3 linked regions of the Drosophila melanogaster genome follow. The protein of the gene in region 2 interacts with the protein of the main gene of each other region in a pairwise test. Each region holds a gene or a part of one and is shown on either strand. Other genes may lie near its edges.

Region 1 (5,712 bases), on a different chromosome or scaffold from region 2:
AAAAAAGTTGGCCGCTGGCTGCGCGTCTGGCGGATATAAAAATAAAATAAAATCTATTAGGTGGCGAACCACCCCACATTTATGCGGCAATTTGTTGCTCCTTGATTGTGTCTGTGTGCGACGGGGTGTCCTTTCCGTATGTGCGTGTGTGTGTATGTGTAAAAATAAGTAAAGTAAAGTGTATCATTTTCCCATTTGGCGACCCCTTTTCGCATTTCGCCCCTGTACACAGGCACTTCTCGCACTTTGTCTCAATTCCCAAAACTGTCGCCCCGGCCGTTGCAATTTATGAAGATTTGTGTGTGGCCAGGATGCCAGCGCAGGGTGGGATGCCCAGGATGCAGGACTCTGAATATCACTGGCTCAGAAGCTCAGGGCTCAGCACTCAAGAGTCTTGGCCCACTCCCACTCCCACACGGTTTCGTTTCGACTGCACTTGTTTTGATTTGTTTGGAATAATAACAGATGCTTGCCGTTCATATTATTCATTGTGGAAATTATTAGCGCTTGACAATAAAAATGGCTATTTGAACAGCACTCGAAAGTGAGTGCGCCCCCTTACTCCCCCTCTCACCGACAATCCCCCGCCGCACAACACAAATTGCAATTTGTGCAAATATTTATGTACATTGAAAATTACTCATTTGTGTAACACCAATTAATTTCAACAAACAGCGGCGGGCGCACAACAATGGCCAAGCCATTTATAAAACTTGGCCGCTTGTTGTTGGTCCCTGTTGTCCTTGTTGTCCTTGCTGCCTTGCTGGTCAAACAAATGGGGGAAAATGAGGTCCTTTGTTTCCCCAAAATAAACGATGCCGCTGCTGTTTGAATGTTTGAATGTTTGCTTTGCGGTGCGCCAGCACACGATACACACTGTACAGTGGAGCCCTTCGCCAACAGCCGACAAAGCAGTTCAATCAGCTCGAACAGCTCGCTATTTATGTAATATACTTATGTGTACATATATATATGGTATATATATGGTATGTATGTGAAAAATGCGGGGTTATTGCCTCATTATTGGGACACTGGAAAATACCCTGTTTACACTGCCATTTTTCAAGTTGCGCCAACAAATTGCAGCTAATTAGTGGCCACACTAGCCGGGAAATCCGACGAAATAAGCTCATATACAATATACCAAAACCGGGGTGCACAGCAAATGGCACTCGGCAACTTCAAGTTTTCCACTCAATCAGAGATAATATGAACAAATGGGCGAGGGTCAGACGAGGGTCGGCACACTTTTCCAGGGGTGACCAACTTAAATAATACCTTTCTAGTACTGCAAACGCGGGATGTAAGACAGCTTATAAGGATGGTTAAGGTATCGTTTATTTTAGTTTAAAACCTAGAACATGCGAAGAAAATACAAATAAATGCGTTTATATAATATATATATTTTCTATTGTAAAAGTTTCTGAGAAATCACTATACCATCACATTTCCATGAAACACGAACTGGAACAATGCGATGTAGTCACTGACTTGTCTGTCGTCGATTTGTCATTCGTTTAGTCTTTGAAAAGTATAAAGGTCACCGTTCCGGAATCAAAATTTTTTTTAAAATTTTTAAGATACCGCAAAAGCGCGAATGTAGAGTATTAAAGTGCGTTTTAGTGAACAGCACATGTGTATCCGATCAGATCCTCAATTTTCATTAACTTCCGGAGAAGCGAAATCGAAAAAAAAAAAACACGATCTAAAGACGACTGCTAGTACAGCACGCAGAGGTCAAATGTCTAGATTCTAGAATTTAGATTACAACAGCTGGACTTTGCACACCACTAGAAGGAACTTAGAGAAGGTAGGGTAATCGATTTCAATCGATATAGCTAATCAAGCTGTCAAACCTTTTTCTTTTCACTTTTTCTAGAAGCGAGAATTTGTCCTACATTTTTATTAGGCATTTTGTGAAAGAATCAAAAGAAAAAAAAAGCTGAACGCTAAACAATTCACCGCCACATATCGAGAAGAAGCAATTCCATTCGGTTATGTTCTGGTATTGAGCACCTGGTATTGAGTAAATCGAAAAATTCACAAATCATCACAAAAAGTGCACGTCATCAGGACATACATTTTGCTGCACCCAAGAAGCTAAGTTTGTGACCCAAATAGACCAGCTCCGCCGAGGATCCAGTCCCATTCTCCAGACAGCCGCGATCTCAGGGTGAGTCCCTGACAAGCAGCCCCAACGGCGTCCCAGACGATTGTCCTATCCAGCCCGGACAACGCAGCCGCGGCCCCCAAGACCGAGGCCATGGCGGAGGTTCTCAATTTGGAGAGCATAATTTCCCGTCTGTTGGAGGTGCGTGGCGCACGGCCTGGCAAGAATGTCCAGCTGTCGGAGGGTGAGATACGGGGCCTGTGCCTCAAGTCGCGCGAAATACTGCTGGCACAGCCCATACTCTTAGAGCTGGAGGCGCCGCTCAAGATCTGCGGCGATATCCATGGCCAGTACTATGATCTGTTGCGTCTGTTCGAGTACGGCGGCTATCCGCCGGAGGCTAACTATCTTTTCTTGGGCGATTACGTGGACAGGGGCAAGCAGTCGCTGGAGACCATCTGCCTGCTGTTGGCGTACAAGATCAAGTATTCGGAGAACTTCTTTTTGTTGCGCGGCAATCACGAGTGCGCCAGCATTAATAGAATCTATGGATTCTACGACGAGTGCAAGCGCAGATATACCATCAAGTTGTGGAAGACATTCACGGACTGCTTCAACTGTCTGCCAGTTGTGGCCATTGTGGATGAGAAGATCTTTTGCTGCCACGGCGGACTGAGTCCGGATCTTACCTCGATGGAGCAGATCCGTCGTATTATGCGTCCCACCGATGTTCCCGATCAGGGACTACTCTGTGACCTGCTGTGGTCCGATCCGGACAAGGACACCATTGGGTGGGGCGAGAACGACCGTGGCGTTAGTTTCACCTTTGGCGCCGAAGTTGTGGTCAAGTTCCTCCAAAAGCACGATCTGGATCTGATCTGTCGTGCCCATCAAGTCGTCGAGGATGGTTACGAGTTCTTTGCCAAGCGCCAATTGGTCACTTTGTTTTCCGCCCCCAACTATTGCGGTGAATTCGACAATGCTGGTGCCATGATGTCCGTGGACAATACACTCATGTGCTCCTTCCAAATCCTGAAGCCTGTCGAGAAGCGCAAGAAGTAGAGGACAGCGAGATCTGTAGACGCTTCTAGATTTATTCTTATATATTGTAACACGCGGCACGCGACTCATTCACAATATCCTACACGAAATCGGTTCGAAATCATAATATCCACATACATCTCTAGTCAACCGGATCGAGGGAAATGGCTCAACTACAACGTATACCTCCATGGATCCTAACTGTCTTCAGAGGTATCCACTAGCCAATTCTTGCATATTGTATGATATGTGTAAGTTCACTGAGATTTGAACGCAGAGCTTATGCTTAGCTAATGCAAAATAACGCCATATGCGACTTTTACAAAAATAAACTTACATTTAAAATTTCAAGTGTTTTCATCTAATTGTTGTTTTTTTTCGATTTCCTAATTAATCTTGTCAGCTAGTTTATCCAACTCTTAATTTAAGCACCTTTCCCAAATGTGGAAGCCCTGAAAAGTGTGCTACGAATTCCGGCGGAGTGAAAAGTGGGTGATCCCCCTGAAAAAGAGATTCACCTCCATCTGTTCGTGTTCGGTGACAGAAGTCACCGCCATATTATATTAACAATGCTTAAAAATTAACAAAGCACACGCACACACATGCACACATGCACACGTAAAATGAGTGGGCGATATGGGGGCGTAAGAGAGAGGGAGCGAGCTGGCAGACAGACGACAAACAAAAAAACAGAGACAAAGATACAACAAATTGCGCCAAAAACGCTTTATTATGTCAAAACAAGATGAAAAAAAAAACAATAGAGAAAAGGAACCCAGTGTGGCAACAACAAATTACATTATATATATAATGAGGTCATTAGCGCGTAAACAATCAGAAAAGAAAGTGGGCAATGAAATACAAAGGGTGGGAGCGAGATGGCGGTAGAGCGTAAGGGAGACCAAAAAGAAAACAAAGTCACATGTTTATCAACAAACGGCAAATAAATAAATGTTCTTCGCAAATTTGTTAATAAATCATGAAGTTGACGACCCAAGTCGAAGAGAAAAATTTGAGCAAGTGAGAAGAACAGATTGTCAGGAGAGAAAAGTTCAGCGGCAATTCAGTACTCTTATTTATTTTTATTTCATAAATAGATAGCCCTATTTGTTTATTTAAATTATTATTTAATATGTTTATAAGAAGTATTGTTTAATATATTTAAATTACATTTTAACAATGGAAGATCTAACATTGACGTATGTATGTAGATTCTTATAGTTCATTAGGTAATCTGTTCTTTTGTTAAATATAATATTATTATCCTGACTACACCATATCTATTTAAGCTAATCTTTAATTTTAAATGCCAGTAAATGTGGTAACATTATTCCAACTAAGCTACCAAATTTAATATTCAACTTACTGGCCAAATCCGGACTCTCTTTGCATTTCCAAGAGTATTTCTTGCTTAAAATGGCGTCCTTATGCACACACACACACTCGCACGAAAGGGATATGTGTGTGTGAGATGCTCGGTGTTTGTCGCTGCTGCAGAGCAGATACCTATATATGTGTATATTTCTATATGGATACACGGATATATATGTACATGTTGCAGTAGAAAGGAAATCAATGCAGACAACATTTGGCAATTTGGTAGCAGTGCAATTGTTTTCTCTTTTTCCGGTTAGCTACTCGCATTTATTTGTATCCTTTTTGCTGCAAATTGCCTTCTATTGTTGCATTTGATTTGTCCTCTGGACGAAAAAGAGGTGGAGATATATGGCATGCCACACCCACACACCCATGCACACACACACACACACATACATACTCACTCCGCCATCTCGCTCTGGCTCTAAAGTTTTGTATCTGGGATTCATTGTTTCGTATGCACTGGAAGAAATTTAAGTATCTCTTCATCTACAAAACATTGGTTTTTTATATAAGCGATTTATAAAAAATGTTAAAAGTTATTAATTAGAAATTAGGCACATTTTTTCTATTATATTGTAATAATCTTCAAATATATTTATTTTTTTCTTTTTTTTTTTTTGATCACTCAAATATTGATCTACTATTTAGAAACCTTTGTTAAAATTTCAAACTTTAATATTATATATTTCAAATTATATATTTTTTGAGTTAGTTATAGTACAATATTTCAAAACCTTGTGCAGATTTATACATTAATATCAAATCATTTTGTTAGCTAGAACTCAAAGGCTAAATTTAAATAATTTGTTAATCATTTCGGTTTTAATATTATTAATATTAAAATAAAGTCTTTAAACTCAAGCTCATAATGATATAATTTTTGTGTTCATAATATAACTGAACTTGTGCATTTCTTTAATAGTAAGCATTTTTCCGTTTTTTTTTTCTGACGTCTTTCTTCAGCTTTAAGTTACAGATTAGCATCCTTTGGTCGCCTTTGAATAATTTTATTAATTACAAATTATGCGCCTAATGAAATGGCCAGCAGAGGGTGTGTTGGTGATGTGGGTGGCTCTGCGGGCGGATTCCATGGCCATATCCTTCGATGCTGACGTTGACGGTGGCGTTAACGTTAACGGTAAAGTTAACGCTGGCAGCGACATCGGCACTGCCCACATGAA
Region 2 (7,472 bases):
TTTGCTGGCCCACAGCGATCAGGAGCCGGAGGATCAGGATCCGAGCTATGTCTGCGCCTATTGTGAGTATCGTACGTCGGAGGAGACTATGCTCCAACTGCACCGTGCGGTGCACATGTCCCACTACCAGGAAAAGTGCCAGGAGCTCTATAGGAACTGCAAGGAGGATGTCGAGTATCCGGCACCCAAGTTGCTGCAGCTGACTGGTCCCGAAACCATTTGGGTGGTGGATAACGAATTGAGCTTGCAACTGCTGCAGCAGACTACCGGCGGTGCAGTTAGTACCTCCACCGGTGGGTTTGACAACCAGAACTCTCTGCTCAAGAAGCAGCTGGAATCGGGCGGTGGTCAGATGGTCCCACTTCCCCTGAAAGTATCCGTTAACAAAAACGAGGCGGAAGTCCCCGAGGAGGACGAGGAGCGACATAGCAGCTCCACACCGTCGACCAGCGCTTCGGTGGCCACCAGTGATTTGGCCGCAGATGGCAGCAGTGATGCAGGATCCGTTGACATGCCCCAGTCCATTCCGGCACCGGAACGCTGCCTCCACTGTCCATTCGAGACGCAGCAGCACGAGGAGCTGATGCAGCATCTACAGAAGCACGCCTGCGTAAATCCTCCACCTCCGAACTGCCAGAAATGTGCCCATTGTGATTACAATGCCAATGAGGAGGCGGAAATGGAGGAGCACACGGCGCTGCATTTCAATGCTGGTGAGAAGCTCAAGTCCGTGGAGTTCTTTACCTGCTACGATCAGCTGGAGATCAGCGTTGAGCGGGAACCGGAAGAAACCGCTGACTCAAAGGTGGAGCAGACCGAGCACAACAACAACCAGGACAATGTGATGAACGCCAATGTGCAGCAGCAGCAGCAACAGCAGCCAAGCAGCAGCGGCCCAGATGAACAGCCAGCTGTCGAGGGAATGGAGGAGTCGTCGGCCAAAAAGTCCAGCACAAAGTTGATTCTGTACAAGAACGATGGCGGCTTGAGTGTGAAGCTCTCCCAGGATGAGGGCGCCAATTCAGAGTCCCAGAAGAGCGAGAATATCAGCGATCGCCTGCGCAGAAGGATCCTTCGGGGAAGTGCCAACCAGTCGGAGGACGCCACTTCCACCTCCGGCCAGGAGCGACCCGCAACACCGGAAAAAATGATACTGGTCAATGCCCAGACGGGCAAAGTCATTTCCAGAAAGTAGGCCACATCCAAGGGTCGAACCTTTTATTTAATTTAATCCATAATTTATCCAACTAAGCTTATGGTTATTTTTCGATTTAAGTGAGTTTTGGTTTTGTTAATATTTTGTTGTTGCTTATGCTTTTCCATATTTTTTTTTGGGTATGCGTTAGTGGAGTTGGGGATTCGTTTTAGGCACCTGTTTTGGGATTTCTATTGTCACTAACACACACCCACTTATACACACCTAGTTGGAACATGTTCCTGCACTTTTACGTTTTTTCTAGAACCTAAGGTAATTAAGTAACGATAATTTATAAACAAAAAAGGAATGAAATACCATTATTCGAATACTTTGCAAATGGGATAAGCCGGAATTCTTAATGTAATTACTTGCTAGAACGGTGCAAAATGTAATTTAAACTAATCGTATTGTAACTTATCAAAGAGATAACTATAGAAGGCATTTTAATATAGAACCTATATATATATATTTACCATCGGCTTAATATATTAAATTGGAAAACCAACCCAATCCGAGCAAGATCCAAAAGCGTTTCAAGGAAATCAACTTTGTACAGGAGAAAAAGAGATAAATTCAAAATTATGTCTTGCTACAAATAATTCGTTTAATTTTTCGAATGGGAACTGTGATTATTGATAATTGTAAATGCAAAAAAAAAAAGAAATAAGAAAGTGAGCGCGTATATCATGCAATGAATATGGTACTATATACATACTATATAAATCTATACATATATATATATTTACACACAGCTGCTGCAAAAATAAAAACTATAGAAACAAAAAGAAACACATTTAAAATGCAATTGAAAAATCAACAGAGAATAGGGAATTTTTTGCAATATTTGCAATATTATTTTGTACAAGTGCAGCACACATTTAAAATTAGTTAATAGTAATTAGTTTCTACTACGGATTAGTTATGTTCTCATCATTAGTGCGAATGTTTTCCAGCAAACGGCGTCTTTGTAGCACAGTGTAGGCGTTAACACTACAAACAAAATGTTATCATTAAACTATAAGCAAACAAAAAGAACACATGTGGAATAGCGGGGCCATATTTAAATAGTTTAAACTTAATGCAAGGAAACATTTGAAAACAAAGCAAATCAAAACCAGAAGATATAGCGCAAACAAGCGATATGTATACAGAATCTAACTTGGATATAAATGCAAACCGCCTTTGATATGCATATATACATCTTATATCGATACGAATATCTATACACACAATATATTATATATTAAATAGTCCTTAACATTGAACTACATTTAAACTTAAAGCTAGTGTAAATAACTTAGTTTTGTTTACTGCGCACACAACCACACGCAACACTTACACACACCACACAAACACACAATAAGATTTACGGCATTGAATTACAAAAGAGAAAATGTACAAAAACAATTGTTAATAAAGAAATCAAATAAAAACAACACAAGTTGCATTTACAATTGACCGATTATCTGTATGTTTGGTACTTCTATTTAAAAAAGAAATCGAATAATTGGGTTCAGATCTAAACGCCAAAAGTAGTTTCTAAAAATTCAAATCATAATGCAAAATAGTTCATTGACTTCTATTAAATTGAAAGCACTTCAACATTTTTCTTTTTTCTTTACTGAAATCAAACATCAAAATCAAGCATTCTTTTTTAACGGAATTTTAATTTGAAAGGTAGCCTGCGTAACGGTATAGCGGTATATCAATTTAAAAGTGACTTTCAAGATACGGCAACTCTGTGAAACGATTGAATGTGGAACAAAAGATTATTTTACTCTTTTTCTTTTAATTAAAGAAAAAATAATAATAATCAAAAAGGGATATGCAATGCTATTCCAGATTACTCTTACTGAGATACTTAAATAATAACTCTCCAAATAATCAAAAGAGCCAAAGAAAATATAAAATCATATATACTATTTAGCTCCCTGTTGCAATTCCAATCGTTTCACAATCGCTGCCAAGTCAGCTACGCAAATTTGAGGGTATATTTCATAGTTGTCGGTACGGTAACACTGAGAAAGCCGTTTTGTTGAAAGATTACAAATGAATTGCGATGCATTTAGCTAAAATTGAACTTTAGCAGAGCCGCAAAACGATAGAGAGCCAACGCAGAGAACACGGAGCCACCCAAACACATGGATACCAAGTCCAATGATGACTCGGCTGGCAGTGACTCGCTGGACAAATCTATGCAAATCAAGTGTGTGATGGTGGAGACAACGACGACGGGCGACGGAGACTCCACAGTCGGAGATCTGGACAACTGCAGCAGGGATTCCGCTGCGGAATCGATTAACAAGGAATCCGGTTCGATGGAGGGAGCCGGCAAGCAGACGGATCACAAGACTGAAGCTGCGGCGGGGTCGTGCGGCGAGGGCGACAGTCCGCAGAGCAGTCAATCCCCACCAGAACATCCGGCCAGCAAATCGCCCACATCTCCATGCACTGCCTTCGAGACGAAAGTCAAGCTTATATCACAGAACCTCAAGGAAACCACGCTGGCGGAGAGCACCGGCGCCTCCGTATCAGCATCCACATCCACATCAACACCCACGTCCGCCTCTAGTAGCATCAGCGGCAGCATGCTGGAGTCGCAGCAGACACCCAGCCAGTCCACCCCCGAAACAACAGATTCCGCCTCGTCGTCCGTGCGCGTGAAGAAGGTACGCTTCCATCCGGACGTCAAGGAAAACGACGGCGGGAACTGGATGAAAAGAAAGCGACGCTCCATGCATACCAAACGAACCTCCTCGCCCAGCGGCGCTAACTGTGATGGCATGGAGCTGGACGGTGAGTACGAGGACAACGATGACGATGAGCAGGAGGAGGCGGAGGAGGAGTTCGATCTGGCCAAGACAATCGCCGAGGCGGAGGATTACCTCAAGCAGCACCCGTTGACATACGTGCAGCGCGTCGAACAGAACGGCGAGCGGCTGCAGGATGGACTGCTCAGCATCGAGGATATGCTAAACGAAGTCGGCGAGGAGGTGGTCACCGAGTACAACGACGAGGACTTCTTCAGACGCATCAAGCCCGAGAATGGCATTGAACGCATTCTGGGCAAGGAGACCAAGGCGGGAAAGGTACGTTTGCAATACGAAAGCAATAAACTATCAGTACGGTTTAGGGTTCACAAATTTTCTATGAATTCGATTACAGTTTCATTTACAACACATTGTTGGTTTATTCATATCATATTTAGTAAACAAAAATTCTAAGCTGGAAAAGGTTTGCTATATGACTTTTGCTTTTACAAAATAAATAAGCCAAAGATCAGCTTTCTTTACTTTGTAAAGCGAAGGAAAACTTTTAAACAGTCTGAATCTTATGTAGTTTGCCCTCTATCCCAATTGTAGGTATCATTTAATAACCTTAATATCCTTGCAGGTTGAATTCCTTCTGCGCTACGAGAACCAAGGCGGACTCTTCTGGCAATCGGAGGAGTTCATCAAGCGCACGTGCCCCTCGCTGCTCAAGGCCTACGAAATGAATCGAGAACGACGTCAGCAGCGCTTGGTTAGTCCTTATCCTAATTAAAACCACATATAATGCCAGTTTGTAATTCAAATGCTTGTGTTTTGCAGATGCATCACGTTGCCAAAAGGCAGAGTCTGCGACAGCGATACACGGATTTCTAGTAGCGGTTACTTAGGTATTAGGTTCATAATTAGGTTCCACATAATTGTAACATTTTTGTAAAATGAAGTAAATGATTTTCTTTTGTTGAACAAAAATAACTAAACAACACTTGCTTTTCATTATGTGTCATGAGGAATATAACCATTTTGGTAGGCCTAATTTTTGATTTCCCATCGTTAATCAGTTCGCACCTAGTAATTCAGCGATATTTAAATATTTTCAAACGACAAACAAACAATAGTTTCAGATATTTTCAAACTAGTTCTCTTAGAGCAAAAAGGATATATAAATTGGGTATAGATGCTTAGAGAACATTATTGCAATTAAAGGCAAAAACAAAAGTGCAAATTTAAAATTACAAATAGTATTCAAATGATTCACAACTTTTCGGATGTTTAACGAAATTTTAAATTCGATAATGAAATCATAAAAATATGAGGGCCCTGCAAGGGTTAAAGCAACTATCGGCGAACATTCCATCTTTAAGTGTGACCACGCCGCGGCCAGTGTGACTGTCGGCCACCAGACCAAACTGAAACACTGTTCGTCGACTGACGCGAAACCCAAAAATTATAAGTAATTCAATTGGAGGAAAGTTCGGAGGTCTGTATTTCTTGAGCCCATCGCCTGGCCAGTGAAGCATTTGTGTCGATATACGGATCGCATTCGGGCGATCCCCACATAGATATAGCCAGCCGAGGGCCGATAACCAATCCCCACGAAGCTCGCAGAACAAAAGAGAAATTTTTTGCGTGGTCACCACCAGACGTGGAATTGTTCGGGTGAATTGTCGAAACCATATAGAGTTCCGTAAAATGCAATAGTTACGGGCCGTAGCACAACCAATACGTTTTGCAGCAGGTGAAAGTCGGTCCGTAGAGTCAGGTAAGTGCGAATATATGTGCGGCGCAATCCTCGATTTTCCGTATTTCACACACCCTCACATCGAACCTATGTCCGATTATATATCCCACGATTTTGTGTACTTTATCCGCCGTCTCAAATGCGCAAATGAGCTGGTGATATCCCGTGCCGATCCGATCCTATTCGATCGGCTATCCCTAAACATTATATAAGGTTTCGCCATCCGATTCCGCATATGTTATGATATTGTTTACTGCACTTGTTTTGGGTGCAGTGCAGCGCCAGTGCTCGAGAAATCCTCTTCTAAAAATAGTTGCAGCCGTGCACTTTTTGTCAACCTCGGCCGATCTGCGTCCGCTTTTGATTCGCACACTGACTGTGTGCGGCAGGTCAGTTGTCCTGGTATGCTCCCAGCTATGCTGCACATCATCCATCTAGTGCGTAGTTGCGTAGCACAAAGAGAAACGGCCAATCCATCTGGTTTTGGCGATGGCGGCATTGTCTTCGCGTGAACTTGACGTTGACCGCTGGACTTTGTTTTAATTTTCTCTTTATTTGTTATTTTATTTATTTGTCGAGTGCGCGTGCTTTTGTTTGGTTCATTAACCCACATCATCGCCTCTTATTTTGCAGCAGCATCAGAAGAAGCGGCGGAAAAACTACGCCACAAACAAACAAAAACAGTGAGAGAGGCGAAAACAGATTTGGTAGCACAACTGCGCATTGTTTCCCAGAGTACCAGCGGATCCGAGAAATGCCGGAAGAAGAGCCGCCACAAAAGCCCATGGAGGAGGAGGAGGATGATGATCAGGAGCAGGATCAGGATCAGGACCACGAACAGGATCAGCACGAACAGGATCAGCAGCCCCAGTTAGCGCAGGGCGAGATACCCGGTCAGCAACTGCCTGAGCAACCCAACCCCGATGTGCAGCCGCAACAGCCGGCCGAGTCTGTGGTGGTCACCGAATTATCCGCAGAAGAGGTATATCGTTTTCGCAAACTTAATGAAGCAACAAAATATCATATTTAAAGTTATCTAAATCAATAATACAAGTAAACTATTTTGTAAAAGGAAAACGAACTTTAAACTATGATATACTTTAATTGGTAACAGCTAAATTGGTGAACTAACCTCTTTAATTCTTTCAGATGCGCGCCCGTCGTCTTCGGACTTTGGCTGCCCGAAGTGGCATCCAGTGTGCCCTGGCGCCCCTGACTACTACGCCACGGAAGCCGACCAACGTCTCTGGCGAGTCTCGACTGGTACGTGAGGCCACGCCCGGCGAAAAGGAGGTATCGCTGCCCACTTCGGCGCCCGCTTGGAGGGAACTGAGCGGAAAACCGGACATGGATGTGGAGATGAAGTCGGTGGTCTCGACACCAATGCAAGATGTGGATATGACGACAGCGCTCAGCCTGCCAACAGCCGAGGCCACCAAAAGGAGTGTGTTGCAGAGTTGCAAGATATCCGCTGGAAATGCCGAGTTGTCCATTGAAACTGTAGTCGGTCCAAAAAAAAGTGCGGATGAGCAAAACGAACAATTGCTCTCCCGCCTACTGAATGCCACGTGGAATGAGTACGGTAGCGGGTCCATCATTTGTGCCCAGAGTGCCAGCTTCCTGGAGCAGCAGCCACACCGCAGATTCGACTTCGAGTGCATTGTGGCCAATGTGCTCATGGAGGCTGTTTTGAAGATCTACAACGGTGAGCTGATCGAAGGAGATGGCGTTTCTGTTAAAGCGGACGATAAAGAGTTCTCCTCTG
Region 3 (7,945 bases), on a different chromosome or scaffold from region 2:
AAGAGGCTGGAGGGCCTGAGCCACGCACTCGAGCAGAGTAAACAGGCATCCGCCAGCACGCCTCCGCTGGAAGATCGGGTGGCCACGCCGTGTCTGGAGGATCTGGAGCGCATACTCACTGAGAAGGTGGCAGAGATTGGAAAGGTCAGCGCACACAGGCTGGAAGAGGTGGTCTATCACCTTGAGGAGGGCTACAAGGAGAAGCTAGGGGCACTGGAGCGAGAGCTCAAGCAGCTGAGTGTTCAAAAGGTGCAGCCAGAGCCTGTGCAGACTGTGCCAGTTGCCTCGAAAATACCCAAGCCGGTGGTTCGCAAGGAGGAAACCAACATTGATCGGATTCGCAAGCAGGTGGAGAGCGAGTTCCTCAAACAGAAACATGACGATGACACCTATTCCATTGAGGAGGCGCCACGAAAAGGTTCGGAGAAACCATTCCCACAGCTGGTGACCCAAGTTCAAGTGGTGGAAAAGGAGCAGCCAAGTGCTGGAAGTTCGGACAGCAATCCGACTTATACGAAATCTCCAAGGGAACCTGCTCCTAATAAGCAGGAAACGAAAGAAGCCACGGACGTAAGCGATAGTCTCAGCCAAGAAGAGACGGAGAACGAAGAGGAGCGCAGCCTGACAGAGGAGGAGGGGACCGATGTTCCCACCTCCGGGTCGGAAGCAGCACGAGAGGATCCAACGCCAAAAACAATCAAGCCTTCTGGAAGAATCATCAAGTGAGTGTTTCGATGTTAAGCTTTCTTAGAGTAATAATAATCCACATGTTTTAAGGAGCCCTCAAAAACCACTTACTCGCAAGGATGCCCGGAAGATGGTCAACCGGAAGTTGATGTCTCACGGCTTCGATATGAAGTCCAAAGGTATTTCGCATAACTCTTTGAAGAGAGTGAACTCCGAGCTGACAGAGCACCGCAACAAACTGAAACTGGTAAGCCTATAACTGCCAAAAACTAATGAACTTTTGACAATTCTGGAATACCCTTTAGCAACATCCACATTTTTACGCCACTCGAAATCGCATCCGCAAGTTTGTCGAAAAACTGTGCTCCGCCAAGTTCTCGGAACGCGCGGAAATGTTGCTGAAGCACAAGAGTCCACTCAAGCCAATGGAGGTTCCAGGCAAAGGGATCCCGAGGTCTGCGATCTCTGAAAAGTCTGAAGAGGATATAGCCAGCTCTCAAGGCGAAGAGCAGACGGATGAGCAAACGGATAGCAGCGAACAGCAAACTCGAAGCCCCAGTCCTCAAAGACTAGTTAGTCGCGATTTCAAGGCTCGTCTGGAGGAGATCCTGGTCAAGCCGGCGGCCACTATTCGAGGAGCTTCCAAGTCGTCCCTGAGTTCGAGGCCAGTTCCGCTGCCCAGGAAGCGGGTGATGTTCAACACCACGGAGGACGGGAAGAGCTTCAATGACAGCGATGATAACCTAAAATGAGTCAATAAAGATGATATTATAATACTTTGGGTATAAATGTCAACGATACGTTTAATAGCCAATATATCATAAGATAATTATATTCCTTTATGAGTACCTATCACCTGTTCAATGTACCGTACTTAACTAAAAAATATTGTTTTTTAAATGAATTTGCATATTCCGGTCACACTACCTTTTACCGATAGCTGCGCGCCGTGCAATGGATAGGCAATCGATAGGCAATCGACTCGCGCTGTAAACAATCGACGTCACTAACCAACGTAGATGAAAATTTTTTAGTACGTCGCGAGTAAAACGTGCATTAAATGCAATAAAAGGGCAGCTGGCTAAGGATCGGAACGATTGAAGTCAGCCAACCTCAGAGGGGTGAGCAACCGAGGCAGTGAATCCGCGAATCCGTGCATCCAGCTGACCAAAGGGCGAGATTAGCCCAGCACCGAGTTTCCATCCGCACACGGACACGGCGCACACACACACAGGCACACGCAGCCCGTGCCCATCGATGAAATAACATACATAACGAACGTATACCGAAAATACACGGGTTACGGGAAATAGCAGTTGCTGCAATCGGCGGATAAGCGAACTTCAGGAAGCTGAGCAAGCGGGCCCACAAAGATGTCGGATATCATGAACATCGACAGTATCATCTCGCGCCTGCTGGAGGGTAGGTGTTAGGGCTCCAACTTTTGATTACCTTGCCCCCACCCATCATCACCCATTCCCCACATGCCTTGCCACCCAACCACCGCCCACTCTCATCACCTTAACGTAAATTTTCCCTGCTTGGTTTTCCATTGCAGTGCGCGGTGCACGACCGGGAAAGAATGTTCAGCTATCAGAGAGCGAGATCCGCAGCCTGTGCCTCAAGTCCCGCGAGATATTCCTGTCGCAGCCCATACTCCTGGAGCTGGAGGCACCGCTGAAGATCTGCGGCGACATACACGGACAATATTATGACCTCTTGCGCCTGTTCGAATACGGCGGCTTTCCGCCCGAGTCAAACTACCTGTTCCTGGGCGACTATGTCGATCGCGGCAAGCAATCCCTGGAGACGATATGCCTGCTGCTGGCCTACAAGATCAAGTACGCGGAGAACTTCTTCTTGCTGCGCGGCAACCATGAGTGCGCCAGCATCAATCGCATCTACGGGTAAGTGGGGAGGCGGCTCCAAAAACAGGATGAAGCTTGATGAAATGGTTAGCAATCTGTTCAGTTCAGCACCGAAACAATTTGCTTTCCTGCTTAGATTACTGAAACTCATTTGATTACAATTTATATTATTCTTACGACTCGTATTTACTTCTGATGACTATGTACTTTTATACATGCTATAGAACTTATAGTTGTTTATTGTTTACGTGAGCTTTAAAAATTTCCCAGACATATTGATGTCTACTTATGCTTCCAAGCTTATTAATACTTTCTAGTTTATTGACGCACACAACGATATCCATTACAATTAAATTAGCCATACTTCAAATACATAAAGTAAATGCCACATTCTATAGCAATAATCCATAAAATTACTCAACTAATTGCACTTAATTGGCAGGTTCTATGACGAATGTAAACGTCGCTACACCATCAAGCTGTGGAAAACTTTCACGGACTGCTTCAACTGCCTGCCGGTGGCCGCCATCGTGGATGAGAAGATCTTCTGCTGCCACGGTGGCCTGAGTCCAGATCTGTCGTCCATGGAGCAGATACGACGCATCATGCGTCCCACAGACGTGCCCGATCAGGGACTGCTGTGCGATCTGCTGTGGTCGGATCCGGATAAGGATACCATGGGCTGGGGCGAGAATGATCGCGGCGTGAGCTTCACATTTGGAGCAGAGGTGGGTTCTTCGCATTACACTGTTCGCCACAATGTTGTTTATGCATTCGCTCTTGCAGGTTGTGGGTAAATTTTTACAGAAGCACGAATTTGACCTGATCTGTCGGGCTCATCAGGTAGTGGAGGACGGTTATGAGTTCTTCGCCAAACGTCAGCTGGTGACGCTCTTCTCGGCGCCCAACTACTGCGGGGAATTCGACAACGCGGGTAAGTGATCATTGTTCGGGGACTTTAGTCGGAGATAAACCTTGTTTATTTGGAGAACAACCACGTTGCACCCTTGTACTCGGTGATTTTGCCTGCCGATAAGCTGTCGGCAAGTGAAAGCTGGCAACCAGATTTAAATTCAACTCGGAAAATGCGCATTTAAAAATAATCAATAATCAATACCGAGAATGAAACTACCTATGCACGACACCCGCTTCTAATGAATTGATTAATCATTATTGATTACGTTTACAGGTGCCATGATGTCCGTGGACGACACATTGATGTGCTCCTTCCAGATATTGAAACCCGCCGACAAGCGACGATTTGTTTATCCCAACTTTGGCAGCTCAGGACGTCCTTTGACACCGCCACGCGGAGCTAACAATAAAAACAAGAAAAAATAAACACTGCACACCTCGAACGAAGCACAACAACAACAGCAACTACAAACGGCCACACACACAAAACACAAATAGGGAAAACAGAAAGGAGAATCCGTGTGTCCACATTCAACGGAAAGCGCAGAGAGTTTGTTTTTATCATAAACGTGTAATCGAATCGTGAGCAACGTTATATGGGGAATATGAATCTACACAAATTAGCCTATCTTTCATTTGAAAAGGAAAAAAAAACAAAAACAAATAAGGAAAACGAAACGAATGAAATGAAATTAAGAAACCAGAAAACACAAATCGAGACACTTTAGTTCAAACTAATGGTAGTGTAAGACACTGCATAAGCAAGAATATTTTATCTCCTAATGTATTAATTTTGTTATAATATTTCCTTGCGCAAAACCCACACACTCACACACACACACACACATACACATGCTCAGATCATCCGTACAGTAGGTACCATAAGTGCACGCACCGGTTGTATTTTAATTTGCATTTCCAACTCGCACAGCATTTTAATTATGTATGCCGATCCTGGCGGCACCTTTGGCAAAGGTCTTTAACCACACTTCCCTTCTTCCTTGTTTTTTTTTTTTGCGTATCTAAGGGAATATTAGCAAATGGTAACAATGTTAAATTTTATGTTAATTAAACTGTACGAGAATGCTTTTAAATGTGAGTTGAGGTTACTACATATTACATATGTATGTACTCGAAGCACGATTTATTTTTGTAATATTTGACATCGATACATGTTTACTTAGTTTTAAAACGAGGAAAGCAATTTTAGTTGCAAGCTACAAAAGCTTGAATTGTTTACACCAAAAATATTAAAATAAACAAATATTGTGAATATTTTTTAACTGTTTGCATTACACAAACACACACATACAGGCAAGCACGCACACACGATTTTAAGGAGAACCCTGAAAAGTATGTTTATATAGACAAAAATAAACCCGAATTGAAAATCTACCTTAAGGCGAACGCTTTTGAGCGGCACTGTGTGCTCTCTGCTGATGTCAGCGACGAGGCAGATAATGTTACCCCCTTTTAATCCCCCGCCCAGACGAAAGGAAAGCAGCGGCCCCAGACCCATTAAGTGCATGTGAAACTCACACGAAATATAGAAAAAAAAATCGAAACAAAAATAAGCAAGTAATAAAATATTTGTAAACAGCAGCGCAACAAACACAGACACAAACACTGTTTATCGTACAAGTGTACACTTTTGTGTATTTTGCATTCTACGACTAACGTCGCAACATTCTAGTGCTAAAGGCCGCCACATTCAATTACAAGTATTATGCCCAGGCAGGCAGGCAGCGATCCGGAGCGATGCAGCCGGACGCAAGTTACCCAAAATGGTTTCGTTTGTATAATCCAATCCAATCCAATCCCCGCCCGACAACCAAGCAACCTACTAACAACAATCGTGTAACCTACGGACAAAAAAAAAAAAACAAAACCAAAAGCAAAGCATGAGTCCTCTTCTATTTCACACTCTAGTACTCTGTTCAATGTTGTAATGAATTCAACGTATATTTACGACTATATATGTACTTGTAATAATGCGATCCAGTACGACATCGGCTGTTTTCAACCCCCAAAAAACACAAGTCATAAGAAATCTATAACGTAATATCGTAAAATTAAAGTGTAATTGACCCCAAGAAGGAAATTAGAAAAGACAGATGGGGTAAATTTATAATGCATTCAAAGCGTAAATTGCAAAAAAAATAAAATACAATAAAAAAATAACAAACAAAAAAATCATTTAAAAAAGAGCTAAAAAATGAAACAAAAAAATACAAATTAAACAAAATGAACACAATGACGAAGCACTTGTAACAAAATAGCACTGTTTTATTAAAAAAAAAATTGAAATACATACTAGCAATAAATATGAAATTCGAGATGTGTTTTTACTTGAGTGAAATGCATGTTAGTTTCTTGTTTAAAAAAGCAAATCTATTATTTATTGTCTATATAGTTGGTGTTACAATCTAAAGCATTTCGAGGACTTTAAAATCTTATTTATAACTTTACTTTATGTTGCTTAATATATTGCACTAAATTTACTTTGTATAGCACTTTGTGTTTAGTTATATCGCAGTGAGCAACTCTTTCCCAAAGGAGCACATGTGCCACCCGTGCCCCTGCCATGTCGCTCATCCTCCTGGAGCCTCAGCTGGAGCAACTTCTGCCTTAAGGCATAAGGTGTGGTGGTGGTGCTGCTGCTGCTGCTCCTCGTCACTTCCTGTTGCCTGCTCTCATTGGCGCGATCTTTGTTCCACTTGTCCGAGTTGTTGAAAATGATTTTATCATATGCCCGCTGCAGGCGCAGCTTATCCTGGCGGACATCACTGAAGCATTCGCTTGTGTTCATCAGGCGGAAGTGCTGCAGGGCCTTCAGTTGCTGCAGCTCATCGTTCGCCTGTTGTTTGGGATACTGAACTGGGCGTGGCGATGGCGTCGAGTTGCCACTGTAAACCTGACCCTGACCTTGGCTCCTCTGGCGACTGGCGACGCATGCGCTCTGCTCGTAAAGGCGACGATTGTCCGTGTACCTTTCATGATGGTTCGTGTTCGAGGTGTCAATACCTCCTGTTCGTTCCCAGCCCCATCGCAAAACCTTGGCCCTGCTCTGCTGACGTTGCTGGGAGGAGCTGCAGCTGCAGCTGGAGCAGTGACTCACCGTGGTGGCTGTGGAGTTCCGGCGACTGAAGTCATTGACCAACTCGGTGCTGGAGTGGCCTAGGCCAAATCTGGGCTGGTTCTTTACGCTCGGACGTTTTATAAATTGGGTGGGTCGTAGGCTTTGTCTGGAAGAAGAGGTCACCGACCTGAGATCGCCACGTGGATGATGATCTCGATTGAGCGCAAGATGTTGCGACTGCCGCTCACTTCCCGATCTCATTACGCCACAATAGCATTTGTGCATTTTGGAAACTATTGCGTCTAGATTTTCCGATGATTTCAGTGATAATTACTTATCTTTCAGATTATTCTATTCCCCAAACTGATTGCGTGCCCGATGAATGTTGAGAGACTACTGGCGACAACCGGTTTCCACACTTATGGTCTGGTACTTTATCACCAATCATCATACCATATGTATATACCGTTAGCCGGCTCAGCTAAGCACTCGCATATCGTTTGTTTATATTTGAACAACAATTGCAACAGTTTCCATAGACACATGTCGAGGTCCTTGGGCCGTTTATTTTTGGCCAAACACTTGCTGGCAGACTCATGTCCACACGCATACAAGTGGATGCCTAAGCCCAGTTGGACAAAAAAATGTGCTGGCCAAACGAAAGACTTAGGCAACAAACTTGAATTCGGTACCATGAGTTCAATCGTAGAATTACAATCAAAGAATAGTGTTGTAAATGATCAAAAGAGATTGATGGGATGAAGCAGAGCGAATTTAAAGAATCAAAAGCAAAAGGTATAATTTTTTTGATTTGATTTGATAGTTAATATATACATTGTGATTTGCATTGTTATTATACATTTTTAAAAAGGAATGAAAGTGAAAATCCTAAATATATAAACACATGCTTGCAACTAAGATTTCATCTTTGGATTTTTCTGAAAATTTTTGATTTCCCAATTACCTATTTTACGGACTTCCAGTTTTAATGATGCCCGTTAATCCAAATTGTGCATTTAATTTAGCGGTAGCCACCCATAAGATTAGCCAATTCGCTTAACCCAAAATTAGTTTTCCCATTTGTGCAAGAATTCGACTGTTGTGATTTCAGCACACCAAATGTTGCCAAATATTGACCCAATAAAAACTAGTTCCTGTGCACTTGTAGAATGTACGCTAAGTCCGCTCAAGTGTCCGGCTTAAGTGGTTCGATTTGACTTCCTCGAAGAGAGCGAAGCGTGAATATCGTATAAGCCATATATACCCCATATTATGGCCATAAATTATGTTGACAACCAGGTAAGGTTCAATGAACCGCATAGCGGGGGAAAATTAAATCGAAAGGGCAAACAACAGCAACGAACAGGGTTGCTGGGTGGCTCGGTCATTGGTCGTT

What was found. Proteins that work in one complex are often made in the same cells at the same time.
Region 1: the proteins of CG9933 (region 2) and Pp1-13C interact in a two-hybrid assay, tested with the Drosophila melanogaster proteins (one study listed by BioGRID).
Region 3: the proteins of CG9933 (region 2) and Pp1alpha-96A interact in a two-hybrid assay, tested with the Drosophila melanogaster proteins (2 studies listed by BioGRID).

What each region holds. Positions count from the first base shown.
Region 1 is NC_004354.4:15,356,889-15,362,600, reverse strand, and holds Pp1-13C (protein phosphatase 1 at 13C), read left to right. Parts: upstream 1-1,539; 5' UTR 1,540-1,810; intron 1,811-1,879; 5' UTR 1,880-2,263; coding exon 2,264-3,172; 3' UTR 3,173-3,500; downstream 3,501-5,712.
Region 2 is NT_033779.5:13,017,046-13,024,517, reverse strand, and holds CG9933 (uncharacterized protein), read left to right. Parts: upstream 1-3,205; 5' UTR 3,206-3,339; coding exon 3,340-4,287; intron 4,288-4,591; coding exon 4,592-4,720; intron 4,721-4,788; coding exon 4,789-4,842; 3' UTR 4,843-4,943; downstream 4,944-7,472. Other genes in the region: CG9932 (uncharacterized protein), read left to right, coding at 1-1,195; Ube4B (ubiquitination factor E4B), read left to right, coding at 6,462-6,689, 6,857-7,472.
Region 3 is NT_033777.3:24,516,599-24,524,543, forward strand, and holds Pp1alpha-96A (protein phosphatase 1alpha at 96A), read left to right. Parts: upstream 1-1,671; 5' UTR 1,672-2,060; coding exon 2,061-2,109; intron 2,110-2,245; coding exon 2,246-2,594; intron 2,595-2,997; coding exon 2,998-3,283; exon of another isoform or gene 3,284-3,341; coding exon 3,342-3,489; intron 3,490-3,744; coding exon 3,745-3,896; 3' UTR 3,897-5,733; downstream 5,734-7,945. Other genes in the region: DZIP1, read left to right, coding at 1-722, 778-934, 993-1,439; CG13622 (uncharacterized protein), read right to left, coding at 5,992-6,834.